2 linked regions of the Caenorhabditis elegans genome follow. The protein of the gene in region 1 interacts with the protein of each later gene in a pairwise test. Each region holds a gene or a part of one and is shown in the gene's direction. Other genes may lie near its edges.

What was found.
Region 2: the proteins of daf-14 (region 1) and arl-13 interact in a two-hybrid assay, tested with the Caenorhabditis elegans proteins (one study listed by BioGRID).

Annotation. Positions count from the first base shown.
Region 1 is NC_003282.8:10,244,851-10,261,500, forward strand, and holds daf-14 (Smad-related protein daf-14), read left to right. Parts: upstream 1-5,776; 5' UTR 5,777-5,795; coding exon 5,796-5,878; intron 5,879-8,766; coding exon 8,767-8,825; intron 8,826-9,238; coding exon 9,239-9,380; intron 9,381-9,427; coding exon 9,428-9,578; intron 9,579-9,644; coding exon 9,645-10,157; intron 10,158-10,697; coding exon 10,698-10,745; 3' UTR 10,746-11,002; downstream 11,003-16,650. Other genes in the region: tkt-1 (transketolase), read left to right, coding at 1-432, 517-803; F01G10.10 (BPI2 domain-containing protein), read left to right, coding at 1,312-1,398, 1,900-2,049, 2,095-2,204, 2,254-2,376, 2,425-2,543, 2,588-2,697, 2,746-2,808, 3,316-3,541 and 5 more; F01G10.9 (aECM cysteine-cradle domain-containing protein), read right to left, coding at 11,193-11,267, 11,448-11,968, 12,427-12,554, 12,601-12,785, 13,465-13,668, 13,716-13,812, 14,662-14,807. UniProt on the Caenorhabditis elegans protein: Probably an atypical receptor-regulated SMAD (R-SMAD) that is an intracellular signal transducer and transcriptional modulator activated by TGF-beta-like daf-7 signaling.
Region 2 is NC_003279.8:2,059,312-2,074,192, forward strand, and holds arl-13 (ADP-ribosylation factor-like protein 13B), read left to right. Parts: upstream 1-6,406; 5' UTR 6,407-6,437; coding exon 6,438-6,505; intron 6,506-7,392; coding exon 7,393-7,463; intron 7,464-7,523; coding exon 7,524-7,660; intron 7,661-7,864; coding exon 7,865-7,927; intron 7,928-8,726; coding exon 8,727-8,834; intron 8,835-8,933; coding exon 8,934-8,999; intron 9,000-9,045; coding exon 9,046-9,141; intron 9,142-9,193; coding exon 9,194-9,516; exon of another isoform or gene 9,517-9,557; coding exon 9,558-9,738; 3' UTR 9,739-9,783; downstream 9,784-14,881. Other genes in the region: ttc-5 (Tetratricopeptide repeat protein 5 OB fold domain-containing protein), read right to left, coding at 2,425-2,571, 2,626-2,752, 3,483-3,959, 4,004-4,107, 4,172-4,257, 4,308-4,455, 4,512-4,631; rpb-10 (DNA-directed RNA polymerases I, II, and III subunit RPABC5), read left to right, coding at 4,994-5,087, 5,139-5,248; moag-4 (Modifier of protein aggregation 4), read left to right, coding at 5,757-5,858, 5,922-6,068; rplp-1 (Large ribosomal subunit protein P1), read right to left, coding at 9,818-9,982, 10,032-10,202; rpl-27A (Large ribosomal subunit protein uL15), read right to left, coding at 10,410-10,526, 10,741-10,896, 11,129-11,293; phb-1 (Mitochondrial prohibitin complex protein 1), read left to right, coding at 12,042-12,443, 12,513-12,629, 12,679-12,987; eif-2alpha (Eukaryotic translation initiation factor 2 subunit 1), read left to right, coding at 13,378-13,495, 14,108-14,655. UniProt on the Caenorhabditis elegans protein: Cilium-specific protein required to control the microtubule-based, ciliary axoneme structure. Required for normal sensory cilium function. May act by maintaining the association between IFT subcomplexes A and B.

The DNA of each region.
Region 1 (16,650 bases):
CAATTCCATTCACCAGCACATTCGCTGCATTCTTCACCCGAGCCACTGATCAGATCCGTATGGCCGCTGTTTCATTTGCTAATCTCAAATGCGTTGGATCTCACGTCGGAGTCTCAATTGGAGAAGATGGACCAAGTCAAATGGCTCTCGAAGATCTTGCAATTTTCCGTACTATCCCAGGAGCAACTGTTTTCTACCCAACCGACGCCGTGTCTGCTGAAAGAGCAACAGAGTTGGCTGCCAACACAAAAGGAGTTGTTTTCATTCGTACCGGCCGCCCCGCACTTCCAGTTCTCTACGACAATGAAGAGCCATTCCACATTGGACAAGCCAAGGTTGTGAAGCAGTCAGCCCAAGATAAAATTGTTCTTGTCGGATCGGGAGTCACTTTGTACGAGTCATTGAAGGCCGCTGAGGAGTTGGAGAAAGAAGGTTTGTTTTTTTTGTTACGTTTTACTTTTTAAAGTTTTATTTTCAAAAAGAAACTGTATTTGAAACTAAAAATTATGTTTTCAGGAATTCACGCCACTGTTATCGATCCATTCACCATCAAGCCACTGGATGGAAAGACCATCGCCGAGCACGCTCTGAAAGTTGGAGGACGAGTTGTTACTACCGAAGACCACTACGCAGCTGGAGGAATAGGAGAAGCTGTTTCCGCTGCTCTCGCTGATTATCCAACGATTCGTGTCAGATCATTGAATGTCAAGGAAGTTCCACGCTCCGGACCACCAGATGCTCTCGTGGACATGTACGGAATCTCTGCTCGTCACATCGTTGCCGCCGTCAAGAACTTCCAATAATGTATTTTTAATGCCTCGTATTATAGTATTATATAGCTTTCCTTTATGTTTACTTGAAATGGTTGTGAATTTACAGCAAAATGAAACAATTTAAAAAAAGGTGCATCGCAGTTTGTATAAGCTTCTCGCACGCGTCTAGACAATAAGAAGGCCGTTTCGCGGGCATTGGATGTTTTGTGGCGAGGCGATGACGGGGATCGAAACCTGTTCGGTACCCGAATTGATACACTTCTCATCTACATCTTCTTGTCGTTTCTGAGAATAAGCGATACAGAAGATGAACACTCACGGCTTCTTAGTCTTTTTCCTCTTTCCGCTCCTCACTTTTTCATTTTCCTTTCAATTTCATGATTTCTCTTTTTAGGAACTGATCAATATTTCTGATATGAGGATTTCTCTTTTTTAGACGGTTCTTTCAAATAAAGACCAAAGTTTTCAATTTTTATATTTATATAACGTTACTAGCAGTATGCAAACATGAAATGAGTTTTTATTTATTTTTCCAGTTATGAGAGTTCTACTATTATTTGGATTCTGTGTACCATGGCTTTCATCGGGACAAGAAATCACTCGGGATTATTCTCCACTTCTTGATGTAAGCTTATCAAATTTATTATCTGTTCGGCAGATCTTTATCGATTTGATTGGAAAACAATGGTTGTGGCATTTCATATTTTGAAACATTTAAATTTTTTGGACAGACCCTTTTTTCACATACCACGATTATACCTGCTTATTTCTCCAGGCTCATTTCAAAATTGAAAGAATGAAACGCGAAGTTTTGCTTTATCTACAAAAAAAATAATACGGTATACGATATTTGCGAAATGCGAAGAGTGCCCTTTGAAGATTACTGTACTTTTAAAAAAATTATCGCAAGATCTCGTTATTGATAGTTTTTGAAATTTGGCAGCAAAGTAACAAATTTTAATGAAACAAAAAACTGCATTTGACACCATAGAAACAATGTTGCATATATCAATTTAATATGACATCTCAGTGACTTCAGTGAAACACTTGTTTTACCGTAGTCCAAATGAAATTAAAAATCTAATCTTTCATAAAATCTTCATCAACATATTCATTTTTTTTATAGAAAAACACCTCAGCTGTCAACCCGGGTATCTACCTTCGAATCATGCCAAACGGGTTAGCTTACTTGAGAGAAGTTGGAATGAAAGTGATCAATGAGCAGATTCTTAAATTACAACTGCCAAATATTAGAGAACCGATTGAAAATGGAGAGGTTAGATTTATCGATAATCTTACAATAAAACATGTTATATAATAGGTTTCAATTTACAATCTTCAAATGAGCAAGTACTGGGCTCCACAGGAATATGCATTGGATATGTCTGAACCAAGTACATTTGCGTGGAGCATGAGCAAGATGCATTTGAGGTGATAAATAATATTATACTAGTTCTAGATATTCTACATTAATTTTCAGAGCTGCTGGAGACTTTCAAGCCACTTTGAATAGTCCTCTTCTGTTGCCTACCGTACCAATTACAGGGCATTTTGAAGCTCTTTTAGGTCACATTAGTTTGTATATTACTGTTAATATGGAACGGTAAGGGAGTTTTGATAAATTTTGATTTTTGAAACGAGAAAATTCTAGAAATGCAAATGGAGCTCCTCAAGTAAGATCTACTGGATGCAGAAGTGCAATTGGATATGTTGATTTGAATGTAAGAAACACTGGAGTTATCACTGATTTCTTTATCAACGCGTTTAAAGGTAAGTTGATCCCTGAAACATAAAATTTAAATCAAACATTTAAGCATTCTTGATTGGAAACTTCAAACCACAAGTTGAACAGAAGATGTGTAAAATGATTGAATCGATTATTGATCGAGATATGAATATTTTACTATCCAACATGCCCCTAAAAGTGAGTAAATTCAAATTTTCTTTCTGAAAACTTTTGAATATTTTAAAGATTCGAATCAATGAGAACAACTTGGACATCATCGGAGAAACATTTGGAGTTGCTCCAAGAAAGGTGAGGTATGTCTCATTAATATATTTTAAACGTTGATCAAGAGGCTCAAAGTCGTAAAAAACCACGACAATCGATAGCTCAAATGAAGCCTTATGATTGAATTACCAAACTGATGCTAGAAAATTTGCATGGGTGTAGGGAAATTAGAAACAAGAAAGTTTGAAAAAAGTTTGCCATCTGTTTGACAGCGATGTGGTAATCTTTTACAAGGCTTTCAATGAGTTGCCAGTTGATATTGTCACGTATTTTCAGATTGAATCCAATTATTTTGAAGGTGTACAAAAAAAATAATAAATTGTATTGTATTTGAAATATATACTCAAAATGTGCCATGAAACCTATAGTTATAACTAAAAAGTACTTTAAATTTTTTTTAGATCAGTCAACATTTTGAAAAATTGTCTAATTATCGGATAATTTAGTATGTTTGAGTTACAGTAGAAAATTTAGAGTCGAATGCTCAACTTTCAAACTGTTTTCTTTTGATTTTAACGACCTTTATTTCAGCATCATCGGGCTGGAAAGTTATCAAATCTGAATGCCAAGAATATCACCTTGACCCATTTCGTACAACGGCTTCGTGATAAGGAGTTAGTGTTGGATTATCAAATGTTGACAGCTCCATTTGTACAAAATGGTGCTGTAAATATGATGTCAAAGGGAGAAATCTCATATCGAGGTCAAGGTGGAACTCCCTTCTTTCCACCAAATGTTAGAATTCCACCTCCACATGGTATGAATTATTTCAACTGCCGTTCTAAAAGTAATTTATTTCAGGAGTTCATATGATTGAATTCTATGCAAGTGATTATCTGGCTAATTCAATGTTGTATCATTCATATCGTCAAAAGTTCCTTGACGTCACAGTTGGACCCGAAAGTTCTCCACAGCTTCAAGGACTTTTGCTTACAAGTTGTGGTCCTGCTGGTTTCTGTCTTGGAGAGTTCCTTGGTACACTTGGAGAACAATTCCCGGATAGACAAGTTGAAATTGAATTTTTCGCAAAGAAAGTAGGTTACCTAATATACGATCCTAATTATTTGACACACTTATTTTCAGGCTCCACTAATTGTGTTCATTGATGATAGGTCTCGGTTTAGACTCCATGGAGGTCTTAATATGTACGTAAGACCTTCGAAGCCAAATCAAGTTAAACAGCAGGTACTGATTTATTTGATTCTATGAAACAGAAATTCCTTTTATTTTCGTAAAGATCCTAAAAGCTGACACGACAATGACTGCAAACGTAAACTTGTGGATCAATGGATCAATTATTGTTGGAAACTCAACGATTGAAAATTTGGATTTTAAGGTGAGATGTTTCATCCAATCATCTATGAATCATTCTTACTGAAGCTATGTAATTTCAAGTCGTACGACGTACGCCAAATATTATATGTTTTTATGTGTTTTTACAAATGGTAATTTAATCGAAACGTAAATTATTAATAGGCCTTTAAAATCACCAGAAAGCTCAAAATTGTAAAATAAAGAGGTTACGTAAAATGTAAATAGGCCCAATCTATCCCAATCTTCCACACTAGTTTAAAACATTTTGGGTTAAAGATGGAAAAATTTGAACTTGGGTAAGACTTGAATGCGATTATATGATATTTCACCAAGAAAATTGTCACCAATTTATTTTTTTGGAAGCCGGCCTGGATGTTTCAGTTTTGAGGTGCTAATCAAATTGTCATATTTCAGCTCCTTGAAACAAAAATCAACGATGTCGACCAAGATTCATTTTCCGACTTGGGATTATTTGGTGCTGAATTTTTAGAGAAGCTTCTCACTGAAATTCTTCAAATGGGAATTGCTCTGCCAACCATGCAAGGTGTAATTCTGAAGAGTCCAAAGTGAGTTTGAAACGAGCTCTATAATATGAATTTATTATAATTTCAGATTAACTTTCCACGATCGTTATCTGAAAGTTTCAACATATTTCAAACTTGACGAGGAATACGCAGGAAGTCTTGTCAGAGGAGCTGTTGGAAAAACGTTACGTGGACCATTGTGATGAATGACAAAGTTACCAAAAAACAGAAATATCGATATTTAGTTACCGGTTTATATGTACATTTCGAGAAAAGAATACTGATGAATATATAATAAATAAGTTATTATCTGCGAAACTGTTTGAAGAAATAAGGACAGTTTTCATCTCCGTAATTTGCAAAACTGCAAATAAAATTAAATATTTGCAAGGGACCAAAAATTGTTTTTTCTGTCGAATGTATAATATGAGAGTTTCGATTGAACGTGTCAAGTCTTTCATAGAGATTCTATTCAACAATTCAAACAATACTTTCAATCGAACAGGTATCATTTCATTCGTGATCATTCATTTCAATATCTTCTTGATCGTCAAATAAACTTATCTTTTCAACGTTTAACTTTCGTTCACATTACCAATGTACTTTTCTCATTTTTCTTTTTCTGTGGTTTTTAATCATTTCTCTACTGGCCAAGCTCCACCATTAATCTCAATCTGACAGAATATTATTTTGCTGAATTACAGGGAATCTTCAAAACTGGATCCAAATTATTTGCAATCGAGGGTTGTCCAACTATCGAATAATTTGTTATGATCAAAATTCTAGTCGTTTTTAAAGGTACAATTGGGTCTATTACTGGCTTAACAACCTGATGTGCATCGTTTAGTAATGTCAATTCGTATTTATTTGTCTCATATTGAACCCTTCCTAGTCACGCCACTTCACATAAAACCATCACCATGGAGTCATTGCGTTTCTATGTTTTTCTGCTCATTTTCTACTCTTTCTATATACTTTTGGATGTGACTTGATCATCTAAAGTCTCGCTTTTCACACAATTGTTTTTGACTTTTTCATTCAAAGTGCAAAAATTGTGTAGTAGATGTTTGATTTGTTACCTGTTATTCAAACAATCCATAAATCGGCACCCTTCCGTTTATATTTTGGAGATTTGTTGTTTCGAACACACATTTTTTTGCAGAAACATTTATAATGTCCAACGAACAAGAAGATTTTGGATCACTTTTTAACAACCAAGGAGAGTTAGGAATCATGGACGATTTTGCCGAGTTTGGGTAAGTAAGTTTTTAAACGGGTGATGCTGATAACATTTATAATCGTACTTTTTACGATGTGTCAAGATGTCTTAACCGTGCAATAACAGTTGTCTCTGCGTCTCAATTCCCGCATTTATTGTAGATCATATGGGACATGGAACAGCCTGACACCACGTGATTTTTCCGATAATAGTCACATTCAATTATGTTTACTTCTGTTTTTTAATGAAAAATAATTTGTAATTTTTCCGTGTCAAATAGTTTCCTAACTCCCGGCTGTTAACAAACTATTATAAAAGTCGCTCAAAACTTTTTTCAATGCAATTTTAGTTATGTAAACTTATAACAAAAGTAAATTAAAGGTGACTGACTATTTTTAGTCCAATATATATACCAATGTTGACAGGGTTTTACAAACTGGAAGCTATTTTTGATGATTCAAGCTTTTTATTTCAAAAATCTGTCTGACTTTTCTGGACTGCTCTACTCTATTGAAACTTTAAACTCAATTTTACAAAAAACAAGTAATTGAACTGTTTTCTCGGCTTGAAAAAAAACCTAGAATGTTCCAATTATTAGGCAACACCACTAAGTTATATCAGTAACTTCAACAAAACGTTTCAAACCAAATAAGTTTTATATTTGTCCAGCACACTATCACTTCCCCCGTAGACAGTGAGATGGAAATATATTGTTAACCTGACTGACTCGTTCCGACTTTTATAAGACAAGATGCATATTTCTCTCTCCGCCCTGTCTACGCATTTCTGTGTCTTGATCTTTTGAACCAAAAAGTTTACAACGGATGTCCTGGGGCGGAAACAATAAATACCTCTCTTTCTCGTAGTTTGCAACGTACCCGCTCTTCTTGAGTTCACCGGAATCAAAACACAATTATTGTATTTGCCCCTGTCTTTTCCTCATTTACATTTTGAAGTTTCCCCAAAAGTTCAGTATCGTGGTTTGTTACTCAATTTGCAATTCCTAGCAATTTTTAAAAAATTATGAAAGAAGTCCCCAAATATTCCAAGAAATTCAGGAAAATTTGATGAAAAATAGGGAAAAAACCACAATGTTCTCTTTTTAAATTTTTCAAAAAAAATTTTTTGTAAATAATTCGAAGTTTAGACTCCAACAGGCACAATCAAACAAACATCTAAAGCCGAAAATTATGATAATTTGTTTATCTCTACGAGCCTTTTATGAATCTGATCTCTTAACCCAATAAACGAATAATATCTTCTTGATCTATCTGACCTTTTCGTGTTACTGTTCTCGTCTCTTTTCCTGCAATCGGCAAATATTTGAGCACAGCGCAACAGATGGACCACACTTTGTAGACAGAGCCACGTTGCAGTGTTCTAGAGTCACACTATTTTAGGGGTTTTCGGTATGGATTTTTTTATCGATTTTTTTAAATTTATTAATTTTTATTCAATGAAATTTCCAATGTTGAAAAACATTAATTTGTTGGAAAGATGAAAAAATTAAAATTTCAGAGGGTAACTAAAAATATTTCGAATTTTATTTCGTAACTACCCCTCCTCGAACTATTCTTCTTCCGAACGGTAATAACGAACCTTTTGTCATCTTTCCCTAACCTTCTTTTGTTCATTTCTCTTATTCATTCAAAGTAGTCGTCATTGAAAATACAATTCAGATGACGTTCTCAACCTCGTCTTTTTTTCCATTTCCTTCTATTTATCGATCACGTGCTATCGTTCCCTATTACGCGCTCACTCCAACTTTTTTCTTCCTGTTAGGAGCAGAAGCTCACGTGTTGCCGATGCTCTGAGTATATTCGTTCTCTATTTCTCTCCGTTCTCTCTCTCTCTCTCTCTCTCTCTTCTCTCTCTTTTTCTCTCTTTTTTCCCATTTCTTTCCTCCTTTCACTTACATTTGTTGTGACAGAAAACACACACATACATACCCTAACGCTCACTCTCGCTCCTCTCCTCTCTCGTTTTTCCTATCTAGTTCTCAAAATATTTCTCACGTCTCTTCTAGTTCCAATACTATTTTTTTAACCGTCGACTTTTATAAACTGATGTCAGAAACGAGCGCAATTCCAAAAAGAAAGAGTATGACTGACGTCAACAAAGGTGAAAGTTCTTGATCTGTTTCCAATACTCATATACATATATTTATTTCAATTTTCTTCAAAAACTCTATATTTGGTTCTATTCTGCCAGATCTAGTTTTTAAAAAGGAACCATAGTTCGTTCCCGAATATGAAAAAAAGTTAAGTAGCAACATTTAATTTACCGCATCATACATTATCTAACATTAGATATATAGTTGAATACACTTTTTTCAAGAACGAGACAGCACCTGTCTGGCAACTTCACGTACACTCTTATGAGAGATAACAATCTAAGGTCGTGAGACTTGCCCTATAACAAGTCTAGTCGACTTTTTAATTTCTTCTAATACACCTGTTATGACGACACGTTGCTAGACTCTGACAATAAGGAAACTAGACCTGAAGAAAAAGTGAACATATTTTTTAAATGATTTTGTGTTTTTCACTTAGAAAATCGAATGATTTCAGTACATTTATTTTTATATTTATTTATCAAATGAATATCCCAAAACTATCTTCCTTCTATAGCATGCTGATAGAGAGCAAAAAAATTTAACTGAACCGATTTCAAAACCTCTAATACGACGTCATTATTTCTTATCTATAGGTATTCTGGCATTATTATGCACTCAATTGACTTTTTCTCTATTTTCACGTCAGCTAATTTCACCAACAACCCTCATATTCGTAATCCTTAGATAATCCCTTCCTTATAGGATCTCATTATCTCATAATTATTTCATTTTGTATTAATATCAAAGCCAACCGACTTCCTTGTTGTTTTGTGTTTTTCTTAACTCGTTTTAAATATTCGACTTTTCAGTTTTCAAACTACAACAACACCCACAAATTGGGCGGCTGCGGGGAATTATATGTACCCAGGTGAGTCAAATTGTAGACATGACAAAGTTATTGGAAAACTAGACAGAAGTGGCTATAACTGCAAAAAATATATTTATAAAACAGACGTTTTCAGTTCCTGATCTCAGAATGCCTCAAATCACATAAAATATAAATATGCTTCAATTTTTTGTTAGAAAACAATTATAAACATGAAAAATATCTTTAAAAATATTTCGTATGATTTCGATGTTTTTCAGACGATTTATTTCCGGTTTGTCATATGATTTAATATGAATCAGAAAGTTCTAAAACGAAAATTATCCAGCTTAAGTCCCTCATCATCCATATGAGTCACCGTGATCACAATCACTTGGGAAACAAGTTTCTGACTAATTTAACATTTGGAATTGAGCTTTTATTTTATTGTTCAAACTGATATACAAAAATTACAGATCAAGTTCACTTACCGGCAAGCATCAATAATCCAAACATGCCAATAAACGACTGGTTGGAAGATGCTCCAATGCCTGATTGCTATAATGTTCCGTCAACATCAACTGATGAAAATAATGATCCGTTTCCATTTTCAAATATGTACGTTTATTTGAAAGTTATACACATTCACATACCTCTTTTTTTAGCTCAAGCCAATCTTCTTTGAAACCAAAAACTCCTGAAAAGGCAGTAGTTGAAGTACGTCCTACTGGAAACGAGATGTTGGATCCTGAACCCAAATATCCAAAAGAAGAAAAACCGTGGTGTACCATATTTTACTACGAGCTGACTGTTCGAGTAAGTTCAAAATTATTTGAGAAAGAATTTCAAAAAACGGATAGCATAACAATGATATATTTTCAGCTAGGAAAAGCATTCGAAGCCAAAGTCCCAACAATTACAATCGATGGTGCAACTGGAGCAAGTGATGAGTGCCGAATGTCGCTTACATCTCAACCATCTTCGAGAAATTCAAAAAGCTCACAAATCCGAAACACAGTTGGAGCAGGAATTCAATTGGCATATGAAAATGGAGAACTTTGGCTAACTGTACTGACTGACCAAATTGTTTTTGTACAATGCCCATTCCTGAACCAGACATTGAATAAGCCACTGAAATATGTGTTTCGGTTGCAAAACAAAGGAGATCAAAAAAGAATGAAAATATTCGATAAGGAGCAGTTTGAACAGGAGAAAACATTGGCTCTCGGACCTTTAACTGAAAAAGAGGTGGCTGATGAACGAATGAGAATCTTCTCCAACATCAGAGTCTCTTTCTGTAAAGGATTCGGAGAAACGTATTCCCGTTTGAAAGTTGTGAATTTACCGTGTTGGATTGAAATTATCTTGCATGAGCCAGCTGATGAGTATGATACAGTGAGTTTTTAAACTTTAATGTAATTTTTCCTAAATTAAAAATATAATATTAAAACACAATTTCCGATAGTGCGGTCCAACTGCAGCTGAAATACCCAAGATCTCTGAAAATGTTGTACACCACTGAGCCGACTACTGAATTTTACTGGCTAGCAATTTTTGTATAGGCTTAAAGTATCTCCATTGAAGATTAAAGAATCGATTTTTTAGCCACCTGGATTCTTTCGGTGAATCAAGGCTATATTTGTTTCCGAAATAAATAGATAAATTAAAAAACTTCATGAAAGACAAATAATTAATAATTATATTCACATTTGTCTTATCCGGTTCTATTTATAAAATAATTAAACAAAATATGACTATTTCAATCATTAAAACAAAAACACAAAAAATTCAACATATGATCTAGTAATGGAATTAACTGTTAAGTGTATGGCATAGTTGAGACCATTTTGAATTTGAATTTGAATTTAAATTTAAACACTTGAAATAACACACAAAATTGTTTCAAGTAATTAAAGTTCCATTAATAATCTTCAGGTTTTCCGTATTAATAACGAACGGCCGGAAATAGGATCCCGATCATGATTGCTTCAATATTTTCACTTCAATGATTGGTTCTAAGCATTCGAATGCGTACCCGTTTGATTAATATTTCCATTTCTGTCCCAGTTTTTAATTTTCATTTCTTTTGGTTAAAAAATTCCCAGTCTCTTGAATGCTTTTCTAAAATCTTTAATTCAATTATTTATTAGAATCTTCTGTTTTGAGAACTTTGTAATGTAATTAAATAATTTGATGAAATGATTATGAATGCGAATAAATTATTAAAATAATATTAATAATACATTTTTGGTGGAAAGGAGAGGAACCTGAAACAATAAATTAGAAATCTGACGACAAAAGTGTCAATTGTGGAAATAAATAAAATGAGATGATCCCGTATGGGTTGGAAATGTCTTTAAATGTAGGATGAGCACAAAACTAAAAGAGCAAAGAAAACAGAGAACATTTTGAGAAAAATTAAGTCATAGTTTAGAAGAATTTCTTGCTTTTACAAGAATCAATAAAATGGAATATGAGTTCACAGCTGGCGTTTGGAGCATACATCTGCAAATAAGGAAAATTAACATGATTGTGAAAAAGTGATTTGATTAAATGTGTCTCTGTTGTAACACCAACAACAGGAATTCACAAAAGAGCACCAAAAATACGTAACAGATAGGCACGTAGTCACTCCTAAATGCCTACCTGTAGTGGCAGCCTTGATTTCTATATTTTAAAATTTACCTGCAGGAAGGGACAGTTGCCTCTCGCCCATTTCGAGACATCTTTGATACTAAAACTCTTGGCCAGTTTTGTTATTTTTGCACAACTCTCTGCGGTAGCTTCCTGCATTTCTTGAGGATTCGATTGTAGAATTGGCTTCAACTTAAGAATATCATGACCCACTTGTTGTTGAACAGGTTGTATTGGTTGGGAAGGTGGTAAAGCCATTCCTGGTGGAGCCAATGGCATTGGCATCGGAGCACCCGGAGGAAGCGGGATTCTCATTGGTTGTGGGGCACCGGGCAATGGAACTGGACGATGAAGCATATTAGTTGTCGAAGAGACTGGAAGAGTCATTGGTCCAGGTACTCGGTATGGTTGATTATATGGAATTTGATGGCGAAGACGTTTCATTGATCTTAATGGAGAAAGATCTCGTGTTGTTTGATGACGATCAGAGTTTCCGATTTGTTGATCGAAACCAGCTTCATCCGAGAAGTCATCAGAAAAGAGTATCGGACGTCTGCGACGCATTCGGTATTCTGAATATTAAGATAACTTTGGAAAAGTGTAAACATACAACTTTTTTTTTGAAACTACTTTACCTAATTTCAAATTTGGAAAAAAAATCTTAGCAATCACTGGAATTTTCCTGAACTTCGGGGTATGACCAAACATGTTTCGTATGATATAAAATTTCAGTAACTACTTCATGCTTTTATTATTTTGAGAAAATGTTTGTTGGTTGAACTATATTCCTTCTTTGCAACATTTTCGCGGAGATAAATATTTTAATGATCACAGATAAAAGGATACATCGATCATCAAGGTTCGATTTCTTCATAAATCGTTGATTATTTGATCTTTAAGTAATCTTTCAGACCATATTGTAATGAAAAATAGTTTAAATTTAATTAAAAGTAATCATATTTCGATTTAAATTTATATTATTGCTTTCCGATAAGAATTTAGTATTAATTTGAATTCAAGTTAAACTAACCTCTTCTCATTGGTCTGTATAATGGAATATCGTCATAATCATCATAAGTAGACATATCATATGGCCTCTTCCGTGATCCTCTGTGATACATTGAATTTGGATAATCTTCTTCATTATCTTGATTTCCTCTGAAATATTTTAATAAAAAATTTAAATAGTTTCTTTTTTTTCTACATTTTATTCTGCTGATTGTTGTATCGTTCAATTGCTGAGTTTGACGAAGAGGATGATGACGTTGTATAGGACCGTTGTTTTGACACATTTGCAGAAGATGAAGGTGGAGATAGAGGTTTGCGTGATTCGATGACCTCGACCGGTACTTTCAAGGAGTCTTCCGGTGATTCAGTTGCATGACTCTCCTGAATCGTTTTATGGTTAAACCTCCGTTTTTGATTATAGGTCAAATGAATCTTGGAGATATATGTTTTGAAATAATGAACAGAGAAACCTAATCATAAATTTATGAAAAAAGAAGGAAAGTGATGGATAATATTAATGAATGTGCGATGTTGGATCAACTAGATTCTGTTAATTAGAACGTCTAGACGTATCATAAGATTTGATCTGACCTAGCCGTTTTTTTTGGAGAAATATATATCTATCGGGAAAAAGTTTCAATCGGAATAGTGATGTAATGATTTATTTTGGTCAAAGTTTAATAAGGATAGCTATACGCAAACTTTTCACTTCAATTTTTGATGATAGCAAGAAATATTCCGTTAATTTCGAGAAAAAATCTTTGATAGGAAGTAGAAATAAAACTTTTAATTGTGTATTAGGGCTTCGATATAGATCTTCCTTCAATGAGATCTGCCTACTTTAAGCCTACACTAACACCTTCTGTTTAAATACACGCAAACGTTTTTTCATTGAACAATTGAACTTCTAACAAATTTATCCAAATGGCAAAATTAGTATTATTTTCCCCACCAAACAGCAAAGAAGTGGTAAGAGTCCGGCATATCGGCCGGAAGGTTATATATATATTTTAGCTCCGTGAAACCCCCACTTTCTTATAATTTTAGCCTGTCTACTCACCTTCTTCTTAAGATACATTTCCTCAATAAGTCTATCAGCTTCTTCATCATTCATTTCATCAAATGGTTTTGTTGTAGTTTCTTCTTTCTGCGTCGAGGTCACAGTCACCGGAGTTGTCGTTTCTTCCGAATTCCGATGAATCGCGATTGTTACCTTCTTTGATGGCTTCCGACGAATCTCTCTGTCTCCTGAAGATCGATATGTCTGAAACTCATATTTGGGGTTTTATTTTTAAAATTTAAATGATTTACCGGTGGTTCCATAGTTGTTGTGAACTTATTACCCTGATAAGATGTGACTGCACGACCATTTTGATCATAAGTCACGTATTCTTCAACACATTTGTATCTGCAATTATATTCTTAAGTAGCCGGGGAAGATTAGAAAGTAACCGATTAAAATGCTAGCAGTCTAGGGTTCAACAATTTCATTTGAAACATACCGGCGGGGATTAGTTTTTGGGTGTTTGTATTGAAAAAAGGAGATTTTCTGTACATGGGATAGATTCTTGGTTTCCGTTTTGGACTCAGAAAGTGTGGATCGATTAGAAGCATCGTGAAATAAAAATTAATCTAATTTACCGTATTTTCCAATATAATTTTATTTCTTTATTAATTTTTGGAATTCCTATTAATCTTTCATTACTGATATGAAAATACAGTAAACGCAAACATCGAAATATTCCGTCAATATTGGCAGTTACTGGAAGCAAAATCTTTCGAAGTCTTCAAAAATTTTGCAACAAAACAAATCACTGTTTCTATTGTATTTTTTCTATTACTCTTGAAGATTTTTTTTGAAAGTAGATATCTCGGTTTTGATTTTATCAAAACTACTACAATTTTTAATATATTTGGTGGGTATACCTACTATAGTTTATCAGTACGTACGTATACGTTGCCAAATAATAGCGATGGAGTACTACTAATAGAAAAATACAGTTATTTTTTAATTTGGTAATCCTGGTTTCAAAACATTTGGAAACACCGGAAATTGCCATGGTTTTAATTTTTCAACTATTGCCCTGCAATAAAATTGACAAAATTATAAGAATTTAGATTGACGTTTTTTCAAATTAAAACAAAATTCTATACAAAACTATAAATTTGAGGGAACAGTTACCAAAGATAAATTCGATTTTTGTAGGATTTTGTTCAGTGAATTTTGAAAAAAAAAAAGTTTTTCGATTTGATATACCTTTTAACAGTTCTTGGGACACCAGTCCTTCTGGATAACGCGGAATTCAGTCGTTCTTCATATCGTTCCAGTACTGAATGTGTATTTGCAGTAACAAAATGCTCTGAAACCGTCATGAGCAGAAGCATAATGAGATGGACGATCATCTAAACATGAAGAATGAACTGTGATGTTTTTATTCGGAAATAATATAAAATGAGAAAGATGCAGCGGGATAGAAAATTGTTCATAATTGACATGAACCCAGCCGCCTTGTCTGGTTTTGACTGGCCGATAAAAAATAAGGAAGTCAAAGGATGAAAGCGTCTACAGACACTGCTACATATGCTTCTGAATCTTTTTGGAACTGTTGGATCTTTTGAATCCTGGATTATCTTTTTTCTTTGAGAAAAAGTGTATAGGCGGGGCATAAACCCAAAGGGAGGGGGGTCATAGTAGTAAGAGGAAATGAGAGAAATGAGGTGACAGAGGAAAAGAAAAGAGAGAGAAATTAGAAATTCGATTGTTCCGTTCGTTTTTTTCGTTTCAAAATCTAATTACTGTTTTATTGTTTGTGTTCGTTGTTCTTGTATTCTTTCACTCACCACGATCACCACCATCATCAGTACTAAACTAAAAGAGAAAGAGATTCAGGCTAATTGGTTGGCCCCTCTCTTACAATCTTCTAAACTATCTGACACTACTGAGAAAACACTGATTGTGAGGGAAATCCTTCAAGAAAAAGGCAGCTTCTCACATTGTTTCCGGTTAATGTCTAATAAGGAATGAGAAATTGATATCGTGCAGAAGATGATTTGCAAGGTTTTATCAGTTTGGCCTGGTGAGATCAAAACTTTCTTTTTAGATAAACTACTGTGAACTTTTGATATCAGTATGCAAATATGCCTGATTCGAAAATATAAGTTCTTTTTTCTTAATTTTTAATACATAACACCAACAGCTTGAAACGTTTTAAAACTCATTTTGATTTGTTCGATGCCCGTTTTTTTTAAATTTTGGAGTTTTGTGTGGAAATGATTTCGTTTTTTGTGATTTTTCTTAGTTTTTGTTACCTAAGTTATTAAATATTTTTTAGCGCGGCAAGACCCAATTGAATATATTCGTGTACCATTAAGGGAGAAATTCAGAAAATGACATTAGTTCCTGAATTCCGAAACCCAAAAAGAAGTGTATTTTATAACAAAAAACATTTAGTGTTTAAATAATCAATACCTTAAACCAAAACAAAATTAGTTAAACATTTTATCAACTTTTAAAGTTTTATGAAACGTTTGCAAAATATTATTGCAAAAATTACAGAACTAAATAAGACAACGTAGGGAAATGCTATTGAGTAGCTCAAAAAACGAGAACAAGAAATTTTATTGAATTTTAATATTTATCAATTTAAAATCTATGAGATTTACGCATTTACTCAAAAAACAATGCTTTGGAAAATTTTAAATAGCATTTTGATAAATCTAGAAACAATTAAATTATGTAAAGAAAAAACAACTTGGAAACTTATAAATTAATTTTAATTACCATAGAAAAGAGAATAAAAAATTATGTTCTAGTTAAGACTACAAAATCGTGTATACTTTATTCTGGATACTGTAACCCAAATCGGAACAAAATGTGTAAGAACATTGAAGCAAGGACTAATGAACTGTTGATTCTCGATTTGTGAGAGAAGGGTTATCACATTAAGATAAGGGATAAAGATAACAGAATCAGACATCTCTGTCGTTAGTTTGAACATTTCAATGTGGAAAAAATAGGTGAAAAAAGATAAGGAAAGGGGAAAGAAGATAAATCTGTTTTTCAAGCGGTATCGTGTTCCGGATCTCGGTATTCCACAGTACACTATATCTCCCGTTTAGATCACAAAGAAACAAAAAATTGGCAATCTGCTGGCACTAGTCTGATCGTTTTTCCTCTCATCCCCGAGGACAGGATTTTTTAACTTTTTCAAAAAGTGTTCTAGAATCGGAAAAATTACATTTGATA
Region 2 (14,881 bases), on another chromosome or scaffold:
TCTCCTTCGAATGACCATTAGTGATACTGTGTTGTTTTGCTTTTCCGACAAGAAGTTGAGTAATGGCCATCTGCTTTTGTAGTAGTGAGAATCTCGGATTTTTATGGATCTGACTTTCGAAAACACCAATGAAGTTCATGTATTTCTATGGCGATCCATCGAAAGGTTCCATACTTTTGACTGTCTCGTTGATCACTCTTTGACGCTCTGCAGTGTCCCATAACGCCTCCTTTGTTTGCTCATTTGTCTCGTATCCATCCCAATGAATTAGATGCTCTGGTAGACCATTGTCATCCCATTTCGTGTCGTCACCGAACAATCTGTCTTGATTTGCCAATAGTGGATCCTCTCCGAAATAGCCATCATCGCCTTGCTCAGCTGAGTTTCTCCCCCTCGTCACTGCGTTTCTGACAGGCTTTCTGCTAGTCAATCTCTTATTTTCCTGCTCTGCCGTCGATGAAGATTGGTTGTTTTTGGTAATCTGTTGCATTACTTGCTCCAGTAGCGATTCCAGTTTCGCCTGGTTGACGTCACTTTTCTCCGCATTCTTGTCCAGTTTCTGCTCCAGCCCGTCCAGTTTCTTCTGCATTCTATACTGTTTTTCCGCCACTATCTCAATCCTTCCAACTTTCCTCTCAATATCCTGCTGCCACTGTCTCAGATACGATGCTGTCGGTGTGGAATCCGAAGTTTTTTGCGGCTCCGTGTTGATGAGCATAGTCTCCTGACCCATATTCTCTGTCTCATTTTCAGGCGAATTTTGCAGGTTCAATCACGCGGTTGGTGGCATCGGAGCAGAATCGGAAAAGGAGATCCTTCAGCTGTACGAGGATCAAAAAGAAGTTTTTACGAGAATGCACATGAAAATCAGGGAATTTGTCACAAATGCAGGAGAAGCAACGGAAAAAATGGAGCCGGAAGATAGAGCAAAAGGAGCACACTGTAAGCTACTCGGACATGTTTGGAACTCGTTGTTGGACACGTTGGAGATCAAAATTGCGACGCCACCAGAAGGAATTCCGACGAAGAGGCAAATAGTGGCTTTTAATGCCTCGAATTACGATCCGTGTGGATTGATGACACCGATTACGGTAAAATTGCGACAGCTGATTCAACAACTCTGGAATTTCAAATTGGAGTGGAAGGACAAAATTCCAGAAGAACTGATAAATACCTGGGAAGAAGTGAAGAGCCAGTTCACAGAAAAGGTATACGTCATTCCGAGGAAATTGTCAAGAAATATGGATTTCGAAGAAGTAGAGCTCATTGCATTTTCCGACGCTTCAAAATGGACATATGCAGCAGCGATTTATTTGAGATTCACTTATCCGGATGGTGCAGAGTCTTTCTTGGCTCTATTTAACATAACTTAGTATTACCATCTTATTCTGTGCCTCAACTTAATCGTTACAAGTTTGAATTCTTGAGAAAACTGTATTTAAAACCTATTACGGCCTTTCAAAACTCAAATATATAAAAACGGTATCTTCTTAAGCTTTCGTGTTTAGTTTCCAATACTTTCCTTTCAGTAAGGCTTGAAATTTTTGGAAGCTTCACTGCTAGTTTCCCACTTCACGATTTTCCAATTTCAACTTGTTAAAAACTGGCAAGATCACAGAAAAAGCCACACTTCCATGATAAAACCACAGAAAATTAAAGAAATTGGGCTGAATGTCTCAGATTTGGTGATTCTGGCACATGATGATTTCTCAAAACTTCAATTCAAAGATAAAATTGTTTGTGACCAAACCTTCATTTCTTATTTGACTTTCAGGCTATATATTTAATTATATTTCTTAATTGTCTTCAAATTTTTTTGAGATTTCCCCACTTTATTTAGTGAAAACAAAGATAAACTTCTTATTTTCTCAATTTTTCAATAAATTTAACCTTTTGCAGCAAGGTATTCTCTTTTTAACTGAGAAAACTATTTTAAAAATTCATTTCATCATCTTTCCTTTGCTTTCTCAAGAAAATTTCATAGAAGAAATGCATTTTTTCCGCAAAAATAATTCAATATTCAGAAGTGCGCCAGCACGCGACAGGCGCATCGGTGAAACGCGCAAGCAATCTCCCTCCCCCTTCGTTTCCACCCGAGGAGACCGTGAGCTACCAAAAAAATTTTTTGAAATTCGAAAAGCGACCAAAAACATTTTCGCTTCGAGACCCACGACTCCAGAAAAGTGCGTGCGCCTTTAAACTAATTGCCCTTTTAAAATTTTTTCAACTGATTATTGTGAATAAAGAAAGAAAATTTCTAGAAAAAAGGGTATTTAAGAAAAAAAAAACATAAATTACAGTAAATCAGAGATATTTCAACAGAAATAACAGATTTTGAAGAAAAAACACAAAAAACAAGCAAAAAAGGTTCATTTTCAGAGATCGTTCGGGCGAAATTCAGCAAATATTTATGTACATTCGAACTCATTTCGTCTGAGTCGACGCTACGGCTCTGGCGAGCACACTTTCCGGCAGTGGAACACCATTTTTCTTCATTTGCGTCGGCGTTGCTACACGGATCCATTTCACCGAATCCACGTGGATTTCTGGATCGGAGGGAATTGTGAGATTCTGGAAAAATTTGGGTTTAAATTGGTTCATCGAAAAGAAAAAAACCAAAAAAACCTTGATTTCTCGAAAATCAGGTTTCGCGATCGTCACGGTGTCGCCGATAACAAATCCGAAATTAGATAGGCAATTGTAGATTGTAATGCCGTAGACTTCGCCGGCGGCGTCGACACCAACAAGGGCACTGAAAATTTGAATTTAGTACTAAATTTAGTGGGTTTTGAGCTAGCCACTGCACCTTTTTCCTCACGAGGGACGAGGAAATGCGGTTTCTAGGCCATGGCCGAGGATCCGACAAGATCTATCGGCAATTTATTTTGCTTTGTTTTCCGCGTGTTTTCTTTCATTTTTCGATAAATATGCTGCTTAGATGCTGAAACTACATGATTTTCATAACGAGACTACTGAAAAAGTTGTGAGATTTTCAAAATTCAACATTTTGTGCGAAAATCTATACTTTTTCACCAAAAAAGTTGAATTTCGAAAATCTCAAAACTTTTTCAGCTGTCTCGTTATGAAAATCAGGTAGTTTCAGCATCTAAGCAGCATATTGAGCATGTTTCGGAAAAAGTTTAGGTTTTGTATTCCCGTAATCCATCATATTACATTGACCACTTTCACCGCTACTTGCCGACTGAATACATTTTTTTTGACTTGGAAATCGTTTTGGCATCTGCAAAAAATATTTGTTTATCAGTTTTAATAAGAAAAAACGGAAAAAAAATCGGTGAAAAACACAAGAAAATACGCGGAAAACAAAGCAAAATAAATTGCCGATTGAACTTGTCGGATCCTCGGCCATGGCCTAGAAAGCGCATTTCCTCGTCCCTCGTGAGGAAAAAGTTGCAGGGGTTTTGAGTAGCGTGGCAAATTTCTAGAACCAAGATTTTTGCGAAATCGCATCAAAATCCTACACCGGAATAGTCTCGTCGTGGCCGATATTTCCAATAATTTTGGCTCTAAATCCATCTGACGATTTCTTAAGCTCATTTATCATCTCCTGCATCCGCTTTGCCTTCATTTTTCCCTTCTTTTGGATGGCATCAGTAAATTTCGACAAATAGCTCACAAAACTCGCGAGCTTCTCTCTCGTCTCCAGCTCATTTCTCGGATCATACTCGACGGCTTTCTGTAGAACAGCGAGCGCCTCGTCGTACTTTTCCATGAATTTCAGACAAGTCGCCATATTAATATAAACTTGAGGGTCTGTTCGAGAAAGTTCGCATTCCAACGCTTTCTTGTAGTTTTCTATCACTTTGTCCAAGAACTTGAGCTCCACTTTTGCGGTGCTGAAGAAACAGTAGAAAAGGCCGGTGGCGAAGGCTATGTTGGCAGGCCCGTAGGCACTGTCAAGGCGTCGAGCTTCTATAATTAGTTCCATCGCTTTTGTGCTGAAAATTCAAGTATCAAACGCGAATTTTCTCAATTTTCAAACCGAATTTCTGCCTGAGCCGGCTCGGGATGCTCCAAGGCGACTAATCTCATTGCAACAGCCAGGGATGTCAGAATTGGAGCAGTTTTTGATATTCCGAGAGCAATCTGAATATATTACCTTTAATTATTTAAGGTTTTCAACATTTTTGACTAAAATATTTAAAAATACCTTGAAGCAGGATTGCGCAAACTCCAAATCCCGTCGTTTCATAACGCATAGGCCAAGTTCGTGCCAGGCGTCTGCATTTTTCGGGTCTAAAATTCAACAATTTTCCTGATTTTTCAGCGAAATTTCAAAGCCTCACTCATTCTAACAGATTTGCTGAGCATTTTCTCGGCGGTTTCATTGTAATCCTCCAGTACGTTGTACATTTTTCCCCCTTCCGCAAGTAAAAGTGCCTTCTGATTTGTGTCATACGCGCGGGAAGTTGAGATTATGGTTGGAAGGATTTCCTGGAAGAATTTAAAATTAAAATTGGCCGAATAATTTCGAAAAATGCTCCCCTCACCTGGATAAACTCCCCGCCTTTTTGAATAACCGCCGCCGCCTCCTCGTCTTTCGATGATGTTGGATAATTTTTGAAGTACATTCTTTTGAATATCTCCAGCTCATTTTTGTATTTTTCCATTATTTATTCGAACGAGTTTCTCTAATTTGCAATTCGATCTTGAAACAAAAAAATTCGAAAAGAAAATTGGAAAACCAATTTTAAAATCTTTGCTGCAACTACGGTCGACAACTGTGCAAACACCGCTGTGACAAATGCACTGAAAACACCATATTTCACGCGCATTGCGTATTTTGAACAATTTTCAATTTCTAGAATTTCTGCCCCCATTTTTTGTGATTTAACTTGATTTTCTTGAAGTTTCTCTTCAAAAACTTTACAATTAGCTTGTGGCAAAAGTGTTTCGTTCAAAACTTCACCAAAAATCTCGAAAAAGTGCAGTTTTCATCTTCAATTTTCGAAAATTTCAGCAAAATCACAAGATGATTATCCCAATCAGATGCTTCACATGCGGCAAAGTCATCGGCGACAAGTGGGAGACGTATCTCGGATTCTTGCAGTCGGAATACAGTGAAGGTTTTTAAAATTCTCGGATTTACTGAATGAAAAAAATCTCGTTTCTCTCAGGAGATGCTCTCGACGCGCTCGGTCTTCGTCGCTACTGTTGCCGAAGAATGCTTCTGGCTCACGTGGATCTCATCGAGAAGCTTCTCAACTACCATCCGCTGGAAAAGTAATCGGAGCCCCTTTCAATTGTTGTTGTTTTTCTGTTTTGTTGTGGCCGAATCTCAATTTTTACTTTTTTCCACCGTTTTTCCTCTTTTTCTTCACTAATTTCTCAAAATTTGATGAAACATTTGATTCAAGTTTGCTTTTTAAATTTAATTTTTGTCATATTGTATAATTGAGTTCACAGCTCATTCTTTATTTGTCCATGTGATGTGATTATTTTGCGAGAATTTGAGAATTTCCTAAACTACACCTCCTTCCACAAGTTTTCCTTCAAAAAGTTCCACGTGTCCGCTAGTCAGACTGTCTATCATTCTGACGTCTCTCATTTATCCCGCGCATTTCCTAATCTCGGTCATTTATGTCACCGAGACGGTCTGCGTTCACGACACTTTCTTATCGATTCTTTGTTTTTTTCTTCCAGAAAACCTCGTATACGGCGGCTTTGTCCATCGCTGACGGCGCTCCGGTGTGATCCGAGAAACACAGTTTTTGAGCAGCACAACTCCAACAAAAATGACTCGTGGAAATCAAAGAGATCTGGCTCGTGAGAAGAACCAAAAGAAACTGGCCGATCAAAAGAAGCGCCAGGGAGCCTCTGGACAAGACGGAAATGCTGTAAGTTTTCATTTCAAATTTCCAAATCACATATATATATCCAGTTGCAAATAAATATTCCAGGGTCTATCGATGGATGCTCGCATGAATCGCGACGCTGACGTCATGCGTATCAAGCAGGAGAAAGCGGCAGCCAAGAAAGAAGCCGAAGCCGCTGCAGCTGCTGCAAACGCAAAGAAGGTCGCCAAAGTGGACCCATTGAAGATGTGATTGATTAATTCTCACTTTTTTTTGATCATTTTTGTTTTATTTTATTCGTATTTAAAAAAACATCGTATGGGTTTCCCAAAAAAATGAATGCCTCTGTCTCCTTCTCCTGAAAAATGTATGATCACTTGGCAGCTCGCCAACCTAATCATTATCAGAGCCAGTTTCTGATTGTCTTCTTCGGCCGCCGCCTCACCTCATCTCTTCCTCCCACCCCGCGGCTTCTCTCCACAATTCTTGTGCTCTCTCGGGCTCTGGTAACTATGGCAACCGCCGCTCGTGAAAGCCGAGAGCAACTTCTTGCGTAACTAATCTCCTCGATTTCGACACCACACACTTTACCGCAAGGAAATGCGTAGAAAGTGAGAAGAAATGACCGAAAAGTCGTGGTTCGAAACTATTTTCTGCTGTTGTTGCCATCGTACACCTATTATCAGACGGTAATTCGATATTCTTAGGCTTATTTTTTTAAATGAAAATCGTTTGCTTGAAAGCATTTTTTATGAAATTTTGAAGATGTAAAACGGAAAATCCAAAAATGTTTCCTTATTCGAGGTTTTTTGGAAAAAAAATTATATTTAAAGTCGAAAATTCAGCTATTTTTAATATTTTCCGATCGATTTTTGCCATGAAAATATATTAAAAATTATTTTTATTCATTTATTTTATTTATTCTCCACTGATTTTCTTTTTTTTTGCGTTTTTAATGGAAATTAAAATGACAAAACAAGGTAATTGCAGAATGTTTGTTAAAAAATAATTGAAAAGGCGTAAAACTGTAAAATTATGATTTCCGACGACAAGCCTGAAATTAGTATATTTTACAGTTTTAGGCATTTTCAGTTACTTTTTAACAAGCATTTTGCATTTTTCTAGTTTATTTCTCGCATTTTCCGATAAAAAACACAAAAAAATGAAGAAAATAGGCCGAAAAATAAGAAAAATAAAATAAATAAATAAAAATAATGCAAGTGCGCTCCATCGAACAAGTTCAATTGGCGGAAATTCAAATAGGAATTAGGGGAAAACTGAGATTTTTTCAATTTTCAAAAAATCATATAAAATCTAGAAAAAATTTTTGAATTTTTTTATCATGATATTCGGTCATTGTGACGCCATATGCGTGTTTTAAAGCAATTTTCCCACATGAGAATTACACATCAACGAAACCCAGAAATTACAGTACTCTTTAAAGGCGCACACCGTTTTGCAATTTACAAAAATTGTCGTGTCGAGACGCAAATCCGCAAGTTTCCGCATCTGAGCAATATTTTTAGTTTGATGAATTCCCATAGATCGTGCCGAGACCCAATAGGTTTTTTTTCAGAGAAATCAAACTCGGATGTTTTGGCATCGGAAGCGCCGGAAAAACCACATTTTTGAAAGTTCTCAAGGGAGGTAAGCAAGTGCGCTCCGTCGCTCAATCCGAAATTATTTTAAAATTTGAATTTAATCCAGAAGATCCGCGGGATTTGCTCCGTACCAACGGGTTCTCCACAGTGAAAATGGAGTATGATGAGACTTTTCATTTGACGATCTACGATGTTGGCGGGGATAAGGGAATACGTGGAATTTGGAGCAATTATTATGCTGAGGTGTGTGTGTGTGTGTGCATGCGATAGGGCGCACTTTCACACTGGAGAATTTTTGAAAACTCTTATTACACGTGGATCTACAAAAAATGCGGGACTGATTTCGCATGGTTAAGAGCGTTTTGACGTCACATTTTTTTGGGAGAAAAATTCCCGCATTTTTGTAGATCAAACCGTGATTATTATAATTATTCTAAATAAATTAAGGTTCACGGAATCATCTATGTGATTGATTATTCAACGGATGAGACATTCACCGAGTCGATTGAGGTGAGAGAAGTTACGAAATTGATAAGGATTATGAATTATTCCTAAAAGTTATGAAATAAGATTTTTAGGCTCAAAATACGCTATCCGGTCTCGACACGACAACTTTTTGCAAAAAACTAAAACGGGTGTGCTCCTTTAAAAATTTTTAGGCAAAAGTACAGTAATTTCATTTACCGTATTTCTTCTATTAATATGGCCTCCCTATTAGACTTGCACTCCCTATTAGTATTGCTCCTTGAACACCCTCCGAAAATTAGTATTGCACTCCCTATTAGTGAAAAAGGCGGGGCCTAAATATGAGGTTTTCTGCAGTACACGCCACGCAGTTTTCTTATCTTGAGTGTAATATTGCACTCCCTAATAGTCTTGCACTCCCTATTAGTATTGCAAGCGGGAAGACCATCGAAAAATAGTATTGCAGCTATATTAATAGAAAAAATACGGTAGTTTTACAACTAAAACCGAGCCGCGATGCGACACGCAACGCGCCGTAGATCCACCCCAGATATGGCCGAGCCAAACTGGCCTAGTTCGGCAAACTCTTCCATTTCAATTTATGAGGAAATTCCATTAATTCCTAGGGAAGCCAGAAATTCGTGATAAAACAATTAAAACCACATATATTTTCGAAAAACTATGAAAAATCGGGCAAAGAACGTTTAAAACCACAGTAATCTTTAAAGGCGCACACCTTTTCGCATTTCACAGAAATTTGTCGTGTCGAGACCGGATACCGTATTTTCGGTCAAAATTTCAAGTCTCGGTAATAAATTACTTTTAAAAAATTATCATTCTCCAGGCTCTCCACTCCCTAACCAGCAATCCACATGTGCAGAAAAAGCCAATTTTTCTGCTCCTCAACAATCAGAACAATCGAGAATTTGATGACGTGGAAATTTCGAATGAAGTGAGTGACTTTGAGTGACTTAAATAATTTCCCGTAAACTGTCCCCGTCTTCTTCATCCCCCAGTGTTCCTTCTCTATCACGCAAACCTCTTTTCACAGACTAAAATCCAGGCGGGACAACACAAAATCGTACTTTTCTCGCATTTCAACAAGTATAACGGATATGTGAGTGCGCTTCAAGGTAGAAATTCAAAATTCCACCGATTTTCAGCTTGATAACATAAAAAGTGCCACATTGACGGTGATGGCGAGGGCGAAAAAGGATAGAAATGAGTATCAGGAGCAGTTTGTCAGATTCATCGATTCTGTAGGATTCCCATTTCATTTTCTAGAATTTTTAAAATTTTCCTTTTTTTCAGATTTCTGAGCACTATGTGGAATTATCCGAGGGTGTTAAAACCGCCGAGTTGGCGTTGAGGATCCGTCAGGAAGAAGCCAAAGAACAACGGAGACTGATGCAAATGAAAGTGGAGCACGATGCTTTGAAAGCCGACGTGGCTGGCCTGGAACTTCGGAACCAACCACCTGTGCAACCACCGATCCCGCCTGATCCTCCATCGGATCCGAAGTCCGCGTCGGTTCATATTGAAGAAAGTCCGCCGATGTCGCTTGCCAGCTCGACAATACCATCAGATATCATTCAGAGCACGCCTGAAACAGGAACTCCACGAGATCCTGTAAAGTGAGTCACATTAATTTACTTGAGAAATCCGATTGTTTCAGTTTTTGCAGAATCTCACAAACAAGCACGAAGCCTGTTTCGCCGGAATCTAACAGTGTTAAAGAAGAGCCAACTATCATTCTGAAAGACAACTATTTCTTGCCACCAAAAGCGCCTGGTCGACAATATAGCCGGATACAAAGGATTCAAAACGTTCTGAACAATCGAGTAGTGCCAAAATAACCTCCTTTTTTCACTTTTGAAGCCATAAACACTTTCTTGGTGTTGTTAACAGATTTATTGAAAACAAATAACAAGATCTTTAGTCGAAGAGACCGAAGCCCATGTCGTCATCGGATTCCTCCTTTGGCTCCTCCTTCTTCTTGGTCTCGGCAGCTGGGGCGGCTCCTCCAGCAGCTGGAGCAGCAGCGGCGGCGGCTGGAGCTGGTCCAGATCCGGCTCCGGAAGAGACAGAAGTGATGAGGTTCTGAAAACAATCGGGGTGAAACTTGAATATACTTATGAGAAATCCTTACCTTCACATCAACTCCCTCGAGAGCCTTGGCGAAGAGTCCTGGCCAGTATGGCTCGAACTCGACGTTGGCGGCCTTGAGAAGGGTAGCGATCTTCTCGCCGGTGATGGCGACCTCGTCATCTTGAAGGATGAGAGCAGCGTAGACGCAAGCCAGTTCTTGGTTCGAAGCCATTCTTCAATCGTAAGTTGCGCGGTTTGCCTTAGCTCCAAAGAGAACAAACGTTTGATAGAACGCTGAAAGAAAGTATTAATGCCACAAAGTGACCAGGGTAAGAAAACAATAAGATATGAAGCATGGGTAAAGACCATGTGAATAGAATTCAACAACAAGAACAAATTCAACTTGAAACATTGTTTTAATACAAGGTAACAACATGGCTTAAGCCACCAAAACACAAGCTCCTCCGGCCTTCTTGATCTTTTGCTCAGCCTCGTGGGAGAAGAATCTGGCTTTAACGATGAGTGGAGTCTCTGGGAGGAGTCCTTTTCCGAGAACCTGAAAATAAGAACAGTTAAATTTACGTTTCATAGTCATGAAAGATAATTGTCTCGAACCCAGAGGATGACATTTGTCGAAATTCAAGACAAACACCGAAGGAGATCCGAAAGCCGTTAGGCGCTACTTTGTCTCTCGTAACATACACAACCACATTCACCAGTGGAAGCGCCAAGACGAGAGAAATTCTTGTTTGACTTGTTTCAAAACACACCTTGAAGTATCCAAGCTTGGTGCAGTCAATGACTGGGGATTTGCCTCCGGTGGCCTTGTCGCGAACCTCCTGTGGGACAAGAGACCACAAACGCTCGACGTTGACGGTTGGGCAGTAGTGTTGGTTCTTGTTGAGATGGAACACTCTCATTCCAACCTGAAAATTAAAGTTTGAGTGTCAGATAATAAAGAACATATTAGATTTAATTGTCTCGAACCCAGAGGATGACATTTGTCGAGATGCAAGACAAACACCGAAGGAGATCCGAAAGCCAAAAGGCACTACTATCTCTCCTATAACATACACAGCCATATTCACCAATGGAAGCGCCAAGATAGGAGCGGATAATTTCCAACGAACTTTTAAAAAAGTACCTTAAAAATAATACCTTTCCGAAGTATCCAGGATGGTACTTGTCACGGTTGATACGGTGGTGATGTTGACCTCCGGCGTTACCGCGACCTCCAGGATGCTTCCTGTGCTTTCCAATACGTCCGTGTCCGTGCGAGACGTGACCACGGAGCTTTCTTGTCTTTCTCAACGCGTGAGCCATACCCTGTAAAGTAAACAATTTGAATGTGTAAAAGCGGCAAATTTCGATCGAAAATGGAGAAGAAAAATCAGAGAAAAATATTCAATGAAAGGTTCCCGATATTCTCGGATAAAATTACTACAAAAATACAAATTTTGTCTTTAAAGATAATTAAAATCGACCAGATCACACACTTTTTTCATTAAAACCTAGCGAAAAACCATTGAGAACAAAAAGAAATCCTAAAATATTCGCAAAAATTCAGTGAGTGTGTCTCCCAAAATCTGAGGTACGGTCACACTCGTTTGATGCGCATTTCGTGGCGAGACCCTCTCGATGAAATGCAGCCTCCCTTTAAACTCTTTTATTTTTTGCGCAACTTATTTCATCATTTAAATCGATTTTTTAAGCTAAAAAAGCAGAAAAGTTAGTTAAAATTTAATTAAATAATTTTGCAAATAAATAAGTTATTGATATTTTGTACTTTTTGATTCAGGCTCACTGTTATTATCGATTTATTCGTGGAGAAAGTCGAAAAATACTTTGTGTTGCATTATTTATAACATTCCGTAATTATTTTTGAAGTATTTTTTGTTTTCTAATTTTACTCGACTAAACTCACTTTTTCAATTTAGATTTCCTGACACCATTTAATTCATCCATCTAATTTCGTGATAATTAGGATTATTATCAATTTTGCATCATAGCTCGTTCATTTCTCTTTCTATTTCCCATTTTTTGTCCAAGTTATTAACTTCCATTTACCAGAATGGCTGCATCTGCACAGAAGCTTTTGGGTCGCTTGGGAACTGTCGGAGTGGGCCTTTCCATCGCTGGAGGAATCGCACAAACTGCTCTTTACAATGTTGATGGAGGTCAACGAGCAGTCATCTTCGACCGATTCAGTGGAGTGAAAAACGAGGTCGTCGGAGAAGGAACTCATTTCTTAATTCCATGGGTACAAAAACCAATCATTTTTGATATCCGGTCAACGCCGAGAGCCGTCACCACCATCACTGGAAGTAAAGACTTGCAAAACGTCAACATTACTCTCCGTATCCTTCACAGACCAAGCCCCGATCGTCTTCCAAACATCTACCTGAACATTGGTTTGGACTACGCAGAAAGAGTCCTTCCTTCCATTACAAATGAAGTTTTGAAGGCTGTTGTGGTGAGAAAAAATTTTAATTTAAATATTGCGAACTGATTTTGATTTAAAATTTGTTAAAATTAATTCCAGGCGCAATTCGATGCTCATGAGATGATCACCCAGCGTGAGGTTGTCTCCCAACGGGCGTCCGTGGCTCTTCGTGAACGTGCTGCACAGTTCGGACTTCTCCTTGATGATATTGCAATTGTAAGTTCACCAGATTTATGAAGTTTAAGCTATTTCCATGATTTTTCAGACCCACTTGAACTTTGGACGTGAATTCACTGAAGCCGTCGAAATGAAGCAAGTCGCACAGCAAGAAGCCGAAAAAGCGAGATACCTTGTCGAGAAGGCTGAACAAATGAAGATCGCCGCCGTTACCACCGCCGAAGGAGATGCTCAAGCCGCAAAGCTTCTTGCCAAGGCCTTTGCCTCTGCCGGAGACGGACTTGTCGAGCTCAGAAAGATTGAGGCCGCCGAAGAGATCGCCGAGCGTATGGCCAAGAACAAGAATGTCACCTATCTTCCAGGAAACCAACAAACCCTTCTCAACCTTCAATCCTAAATATCTCCGGTTACGTGTTTTAGACGAATTCCACTCATTTTCCCCTTTTCAAAGAGCCTTTTTCACTCTGTTGAACTTTCGAGAATAATCATGCCCGAATTCTCAATTAAATACTTTTTAAATTTCGTTTTTTTTGTTCTGTTTAGAGTAGGTCATTTCCTTCATTCATTTTGTGTAGGTATCGTAGCTTTTTCATTTTTTTTGCTTGTTTTTGTTGGAAATTTTCGTCTAATGAATAATTTGTTCGCGATATAATGAATTTGAAATTGGGAATTTATTAATTTTCAATGGTTGATTTCCCAAAATCATTATTTATAATTTTCTTATTTCTTTTCAATTTTCTTTTTTTTTAATGCTAAACTTTTCTTCTTCTCATTTCAGATGGCGTTAATGAAATGCCGTTTCTACGAGAATCAATTCCCCGATGTCGAGGAGACCGTTGTCGCCAATGTTAAAATGATTGCCGATATGGGTGCCTACGTCCGGCTTTCCGAGTACAATGATAAAGGTTTTTAAAATCATCATTTTAAAACAAAAATCGAATTAAAAGAGGACTAACGGTTCGGACGATTTTGAACGTATAGACCCAAAATGAGCTCAAATGAACGAATTTCGTAATGAAACTGCTCAAAAATGTTTCAAAAAATTTTTATGGCGGTTCAAAATTTTGAAAAATTACAATGATTTTAGCTAAAATCACGAATTTTCCCCTTTTTTCCGTGTCAAATCCTTCCTAAGTTAGCTTTTTTGGAATTATCGTCTTTTATTACATATATTGGTAGTTTATCTCATTTAATTTCGTTGATTTTTGGTTACCTATCGGCTTTAAATATACTTTAATCGGTAAAATTAAATGAGATAAACTACCAATATATGTAATAAAAGACGATGATTCCAAAAAAGCTAACTTAGGAAGGATTTGGCACGGAAAAAAGGGAAAAATTCGTGATTTTAGCTAAAATCAGTGCAATTTTTCAAAATTTTGAACCGCCATAAAAAAATTTTTGAAACATTTTTGAGCAGTTTCATTACGAAATTCGTTCGTTTGAGCTCATTTTGAGTCTATACGTTCAAAATCGTCCGAACCGTTCGTCCTCCTTTAAATTAAATCATTTTTCAGAGGGTATGATCCTGCTCTCCGAGCTCTCCCGTCGTCGTATCCGTTCAGTGAACAAGCTAATCCGTGTCGGCCGAAGTGAAAGCGTCGTCGTGATCCGTGTCGACAAGGACAAAGGTTACATTGATCTGTCGAAGCGTCGTGTCTACCAGAAAGACTTGAAACAGTGCGACGAGCGATTCGCGAACGCCAAAATGGTGAACAGCATTTTGAGACACGTGGCCGAGCAAGTCGGATACACTACCGACGAAGAGTTGGAGGATTTGTACCAAAAGACCGCGTGGCACTTTGATCGCAAAGAGAAACGGAAAGCAGCTTCATATGACGCATTCAAGAAGGCGATCACCGAACCGACGATCTTGGATGAGTGTGATATTAGTGCAGATATTAAGGAGAAACTCTTGGAGGACATTAGGAAGAAGCTCACCCCTCAGGCGGTTAAAATTCGCGCTGATATTGAAGTCTCCTGCTTCGATTATGATGGTATTGATGCTGTGAAGGCTGCACTTATTGCTGGAAAGAACTGCTCAAATGGAACCTTCCCGATTAAGGTTTCATTTTATAGATTTTACACATGGGCGCGCTTTTTTCTCGCTTTTTGCGTTTTTTGTTTAAAATTTCACGATGTCGCTCGATTTTGTCCGTTTTTTCGAAGAAAAAAACCAAGTTTTCATAGTACAGTTTTTACCCGAAAAATTCTCCGGTTAATTTCTTTTAATATTGTGAATTATTGTCATTTTTCAATGTCTTCTTTTATAACTTGTTGTATATTTATAT